Caenorhabditis elegans: one gene and its partner. The gene in region 1 interacts genetically with each later gene. Each region holds a gene or a part of one and is shown on either strand. Other genes may lie near its edges. The genes, in order: F53B6.5 and act-1.

Region 1 (3,006 bases):
TCATTTCTTCACGTTTACTCTTATCTTCAAGAAAATCATCTCAAAAATGTTTTTTTTTTTCAACTTTAAAATCAGTTTCAATTTTTTTTAACGACAAACTTACGTCGAAAAATGAGCAGCGCTCCTCTGAAGTCAACTGCTGAGTCAGGAAATAGAAGAGATAGTACTAGTAAGTCTGCTTGTCATCGCGTTCAACAGTTTCTCCTTTTACATGAATCTTCATAACATTTGTCATTAATTTCAGGTTCTATTGGCGCATCAACATACAGTTCTGAAGAAAAACCAAATGCGGGAGAAAAATTCTTGACAGAACTTGCTCACATTGATCAGCCTGGTCGAGAACTCACTATTGTTGCAAGTGAGATATTAATAAATTTGTTTTTAAAAAAATTTGCCGCCAGCAGGGGCCGAACCTGCGACCTTGGGCTTATACACAGGTGATTCGCGGCTCATGCGTGGCGCGTCTCACACGCTTCGCTCACGCGTCTGAGAGGACCAAGCGAAGACGCGCGTCACGCATGCGTCAGGCGCGCGTAGCGAAAGCAAGCATGCTTCACGCGTGCGTTGCGAAAAAAGCGTGCCCCACGCGTGCATTGCGAAAGGAAGCATGCTTCACGCGTGCGTTGCGAACGGGCATGAGTACGGTAGAAATGGGTCCAAATGTAGCGGCCGGAAAGACATGAAGCATTTTTGGCTCATGAAAGCCCCAGAACAAATAATTTTGGTTGATTGTAGCAGAATTCGTAACAAAAATAACTTCATCTGAACAACAAACAAAAAAAGCAGTAATAAAAGAAATTAATAAGAAAAGTAACAAACCAATAATTAGTTGCAATATTAATTAATCAACAAAAACAGCTCATGATGAAGCTGGGGCTCCAGACGTTCCCTCGCCGCCAGTCTTCTCCGTCAAATCCCCCATGTTTTCCAAATCAGCCGAGCCTTCTGGACTTTCGACGAAAATGAGCTCATCCCTGAAATGGAATTGGTATTCAATTTTATCACGAACTATTTTCAAATGTTTATATTATTTTGCTTTTTCACTATTTCAACTTTTCAAATTTTAAAATGAAGAAAATTCTAAATTCGATGTTATGAAAATTATATTTTTTATATTACTGTATGAATTCCACGGAAAAATTCATCAGCACACATCAATTCTTCAATTTCCTTCAAATTCAAGTTCAATTTTTTCTGTGAGCAATATTTAATATATTTTTTACTTTTTATCAAATTTCCCAGTCGACTTGTCACATTTGTCTTCTAGACTTAAAGATTTAAAGGTAACGGTCGACAATTGTACGTGACACCGACAAACTATTGCGGACCGCGCGAAAAATCGTGCCAACTCATTTCTTTGCAAAATCATTCATTTTGAGCATATTTTCTCGTCATTATGATTTTAATTTTGCGAGTTGGACAGAATTTCTTTCACTAATATACAGTTTATATTTTTTTTCACGCTGATAAATTTGTTTGGCTCCCTTTGTCCACTATATATCGATAAACACGAAGATATAGTGGTAATTTTGGGATAAAATCATTTATTCGTGTGAAATTAAACGCCCAGTAACATCATTTCTCAAGTTTCTTTGTCTTCTCTGTCTTATCTTTTTATCAACTTCGTTTTCACTTTCACTCAGAGATTTTTTTTTTAAAGATTCTTCTCTGGTACTTCAGCGATCGCAGAGTGAAGGGAGGACGATGTGGGATTTTGCGGTTTGTGAAGCTCAAGAACTGATGATTCTCTCCGATCAAAACTTTTTACAGACCCAATGGAAAGAGCCACAGACGGCACAATCAAAGAATACGGAATCGAAATGCGAATTCCATGGAAACTCGAATGAGGTGAAGCCGATTGGCAGTCTCAACGGACAGTCGATCGCTCAATGCCGTATTCACACTGAAAAGACGGTTCCAATTGTGAAGGGCGGTGAACAGGCGAGGATGGAGGAGAACGAGATCTACGCGATTGAGACGTTCGGATCTACGGGAAAAGGATATTTTCATGATGATATGGAAACATCGCATTATATGAAGAATTTTGAGCTCGCCGACGAGAAAATTCCACTTCGCTTGCAAAAATCGAAGGGTCTTCTCAACTTGATCGACAAGAATTTCGCCACGCTGGCTTTCTGCCGTTGTTGGATTGATCGGCTTGGAGAGACCAAGTACTTGATGGCTCTCAAAGGTAAGTGTTCCTACTCTACTGCTTCTAGATTGATGCTAATATTAACTCTATTTACAGACCGCTGGATGGCTATGGTTGGAGCTTGTATACTACAAAGCTTTGCGGGAAAAATTATCGGCAAACGTGCAAACCTGCTTCTCAATTTGATAATTTAACATTTCTGAGCTAAAGTTGAAATAGAAATGAAAAAAAGTTCGTTCCATCTGGAAATTATATTTATTTTTCTGAAAAATCTAAGAAAAATCTCAAGTATTGCCGGAAAGTTACCGTTTTCCGGTTTTTCCGGCACTATTTTTCAAAAATGTCACCGAAAATAAATAATTTCCCGTTGGAACGAACTTTTTCTACATTTTTATATCAAATTCAGTTCTGAAAAGTTGAATTTTTTTTTGAAAAGCAGATTTGTAATTTTGTAGAAACATTTTGTCGCAAAGCCATGTAGTATACTCGTCGAAAGTTTCATAGCAGTTGAAATATGAGCGGTTAGTGGAAATGAAAGGTACTAGCGGTCCTCTCCGATCAAAATTTTCAGATCCATCTGGAGAGACGGCCTCGAGTTAGGTAGAACAAGTTAATCGAAACGAGATGGATTTGGAAGCGGAAATTTCGATGGATTTGGAAACGGAAATTTCGATGGATACGTTGGAAATAAAATCAAGAATGAAAGATAATATCTTTCTTGCAGGTATTTTTTCTTTTAAATTTTGAAAAAATATTGTAAAACTCACGGGAAAAAAATATCACTGTGTTCCTTCGCTAGCTCCTCCTTCATCCATCTTGTCTTCACTCGAATCGAATCTTCCCCGTGTGTGAGT
Region 2 (4,179 bases), on another chromosome or scaffold:
TCGGTGAACGGCGTTAATCTCGTCAAAATTAATATAGAGATCGCTAGGAATGTGGAAAATGCCATTCCTTCTTTGGAGATATAGAAAATAAAAGGGCGGCGCATTTCAACATGCGCTTGGTTCTCAGAAATTGCATGAGTCATCGCAAATATTTCGAAATTCCTTCATATGCGCAACGAAAAATTGTGAACATTTCACAATTTTCTAATTTTTAAATCTTCAAAATTCTAACATTAATTTCTAGGGCTTTCCAAGGATATATTCTTGAGAAGAAAATAGCTTCGAAAAGGATAGACAAAACCGGTCAATGTATGTTTCAATGAATGGTTTGACTTAAGCTCTTCTAACCAGCAATTGCTGTGCGGGCAGCGCAATACCAGAACCAACCCAATATGCGCTAATCGTTATACACGCCTCATTTTCTTTCTGTCACGAGGAAATCGTTAAAAAAGCAAACCTTCAGAAAAGTCGAAAGGCTTATGGTTTCTTCAAGTGAAAAGGTATCTAGACTACGATTCCTCCAGTATTTATATGTGTCATCTAATTTCCCTTGCACCTTCCCACGCAAAAATTCTTCACTAGCGTTCCAATTACTGATTGGGTCCGCAGACTTTTTTGCCATTTTCGATCCCCTATGCTGTGATGTTTGTAAACTCTTCGAAAGTATTTCTATCTCATCGAATATACCAAGAAAATCCTGCATGAGTTTCTTGCCTGCCCCCCCCCCCCCCCCACTGGTTTTTTTTCTGCTCCTCAATATCAGTTGGTACTCTCCCGATGATTTCTGAACATCTTTCCGCCCTCACAAGTGCTTGCACACATAGACCAATATCAATGAAGATTAAAAAAAAATAAATTAATTTCAAAATGTGGAAAGAAAATATTAAATAGCCTTAAAAGATGTATAGCATATGTCTGCTCAGTGTATGTTCCATCACACATGTTCGCATTAGTGCACAACGGGGTGATTTACAAGCTCTGCCTTCAATTAATAAGTATATTTTTCATTCTATTGAATTTGAAGAATTGTGAGCATGTAAGATGAATTCATTTATTGGAAACAAATATGCACTATTTTTAGATTCCGATTAATACAGTGAATACGGACCATCATATATAACTTATTATTTATTTATTCAAATACGTTAGATTCAACATGAATTAAAACATATTGTAGTTTTGTTAAAATATCCGTTTAAATTTAAAAAAAACAGTTTTATGCCAAATATAAAATACAGTCGTCTTTAATCGCATTCTACAGAAGCTATTGAAATTCCAGTAAATTGTTATTGGCTTTAATTTACCTGTGCATTATTTAGGTCATACCATTTTTACGTATTCATTAAATTTACTCATCTTTACCTGTTCGCCCATCATCTTTCTAAAAGTTATTGTTGTTTTCGTAAACCTCCCACCCTTCTCGTCATAGACAAAAAACGTTGCCACATATTTCTTCTCACCTCCTCTCTCGTGGACTCCTCGCCTTCGCAATCGGTCCGATCACTGAGAGATCGTGAGGAAATGAAGAGAAAAGGGAGGGATAAGATAGCTAGAGGGCGTTGTGGGCTCTGGCCAATACGAAGAACTTGGCAAGAGGGATGCTCCCGTGGAAAGAGGGAGTTTATGGGTGGAGTCTTCTCCCGCGGGTGTCTGGATCCTCTCTATTTCTCATAGTCACTAATTCGTTGTGTAGTCGGTGAATCCAATACGCAGAATTGTCTTTCATGGCACAGTATAAAAGCAACGGTGCCCAGTTTTACAGAGCTCACTCATCTCCACGCTTTCTTTCAATTTCTTTTATTTACTCTTCGCTATTTTGCAATAAGTTTTGAACACTTTTTTCAAATACAGCATTTTGATAAGCGAACAGATAACACCAGAGATAAGACTATCACTGAAGTTTCGAAAGTATTCCTTCCTCCATTAATGCCTCACACCATAGATAAGAATTTTTAAAATAAAAATCGTGTTCATGACTCACCCAATGTATTAGTCACGCCTTATTTGATTTTGTTTTTACCACCGCCCACCTGATGAATTGTCCCACTATATATATAATATATATTCTGCTCAATACTATCACCGTTTCCCCACGTGTTCTGTGTTATATTATCAATTTAATTTTTCAGGTACATTAAAAACTAATCAAAATGTGTGACGACGAGGTTGCCGCTCTTGTTGTAGACAATGGATCCGGAATGTGCAAGGCCGGATTCGCCGGAGACGACGCTCCACGCGCCGTGTTCCCATCCATTGTCGGAAGACCACGTCATCAAGGAGTCATGGTCGGTATGGGACAGAAGGACTCGTACGTCGGAGACGAGGCCCAATCCAAGAGAGGTAAATAATTAATACATTCGATGATTAAATTTATGCGTACTATTTCAGGTATCCTTACCCTCAAGTACCCAATTGAGCACGGTATCGTCACCAACTGGGATGATATGGAGAAGATCTGGCATCACACCTTCTACAATGAGCTTCGTGTTGCCCCAGAAGAGCACCCAGTCCTCCTCACTGAAGCCCCACTCAATCCAAAGGCTAACCGTGAAAAGATGACCCAAATCATGTTCGAGACCTTCAACACCCCAGCCATGTATGTCGCCATCCAAGCTGTCCTCTCCCTCTACGCTTCCGGACGTACCACCGGAGTCGTCCTCGACTCTGGAGATGGTGTCACCCACACCGTCCCAATCTACGAAGGATATGCCCTCCCACACGCCATCCTCCGTCTTGACTTGGCTGGACGTGATCTTACTGATTACCTCATGAAGATCCTTACCGAGCGTGGTTACTCTTTCACCACCACCGCTGAGCGTGAAATCGTCCGTGACATCAAGGAGAAGCTCTGCTACGTCGCCCTCGACTTCGAGCAAGAAATGGCCACCGCCGCTTCTTCCTCTTCCCTCGAGAAGTCCTACGAACTTCCTGACGGACAAGTCATCACCGTCGGAAACGAACGTTTCCGTTGCCCAGAGGCTATGTTCCAGCCATCCTTCTTGGGTATGGAGTCCGCCGGAATCCACGAGACTTCTTACAACTCCATCATGAAGTGCGACATTGATATCCGTAAGGACTTGTACGCCAACACTGTTCTTTCCGGAGGAACCACCATGTACCCAGGAATTGCTGATCGTATGCAGAAGGAAATCACCGCTCTTGCCCCATCGTAAGTTTTCTATTTTTGTTTCAGTTAACAAATTAAATTGATTTTTTTTCAGAACCATGAAGATCAAGATCATCGCCCCACCAGAGCGCAAGTACTCCGTCTGGATCGGAGGATCTATCCTCGCTTCCCTCTCCACCTTCCAACAGATGTGGATCTCCAAGCAAGAATACGACGAGTCCGGCCCATCCATCGTTCACCGCAAGTGCTTCTAAATGCACAACTTCGTCAACTTGCACAAACAAGTTCAAAACCATCGTCACCACCAGCTTTCTATTTCTTGTTTGCATATTTTTGTGCAACAAGGAAACATCATGCATATTTCCCAAAAAAATAAAAAACCGCCCCATTTTTGTCCTTATTGTCCTTTCACTCATTTGCGGGTGTGAATAAAAATTTAAAAATTGATATTTCTAAATTGTCTATCAGCACCATTAACAGATTCTTGAAGCACTCGCCGCCAAAAAATGTTACTGTTTGAGAAATACGTTGAAGACAGTTGCGACATGAGAGATATTTGAGTGGGCGCAGAGCGATTCCGAGAATCGCAACGTTCGTGAAGATACTGCTCGTCTCTCGAGAAAGAAAGCACACATTCCATAGTTTCTTCTTATTCCCACGGCGGCGAAAGCATCTGTTTACACAACATGCGGAGGCAAAAACGACGAGAAGCGTCGAACTGATAGGAAGAAAACAGAAAATCTTTGAACAGGAAGGGAAGTGTAGGCGGTTGTATGATAACTTCCGTACGGATAATAGTTTTAAATGTAAACAATGTTAATTAAGAACACAAACTTCTCCATTGATTCAACTCTGCGAGAAAAACGCAAACTTGTTTAAGTTTTAAGTTTTATATGTACAATAAATTAATTCTTTAATTTTTTATTTTGGAAAAAAGTTAACTGAATTCAATTATTTTTTAAAAACATTGGTATCCTATTTTCTTGAAAACTTGATGATTTACTTAAAGGCACATGTCAGGTTGCTAAGCTAAGTGGGTCTCGCCACGATTT

Evidence for each region.
Region 2: of F53B6.5 (region 1) and act-1, changing one enhances a phenotype caused by changing the other (phenotypic enhancement), as found in Caenorhabditis elegans (one study listed by BioGRID).

Annotation. Positions count from the first base shown.
Region 1 is NC_003279.8:8,948,708-8,951,713, forward strand, and holds F53B6.5 (Peptidase_M24 domain-containing protein), read left to right. Parts: upstream 1-1,740; coding exon 1,741-2,191; intron 2,192-2,248; coding exon 2,249-2,346; downstream 2,347-3,006. Other genes in the region: F53B6.4 (Major sperm protein), read right to left, coding at 1-4; F53B6.7 (O-fucosyltransferase family protein), read left to right, coding at 112-169, 245-358; F53B6.13 (Elf-1_N domain-containing protein), read right to left, coding at 860-974, 2,920-2,963.
Region 2 is NC_003283.11:11,078,923-11,083,101, forward strand, and holds act-1 (Actin-1), read left to right. Parts: upstream 1-2,129; 5' UTR 2,130-2,150; coding exon 2,151-2,340; intron 2,341-2,388; coding exon 2,389-3,169; intron 3,170-3,221; coding exon 3,222-3,381; 3' UTR 3,382-3,493; downstream 3,494-4,179. UniProt on the Caenorhabditis elegans protein: Actins are highly conserved proteins that are involved in various types of cell motility and are ubiquitously expressed in all eukaryotic cells.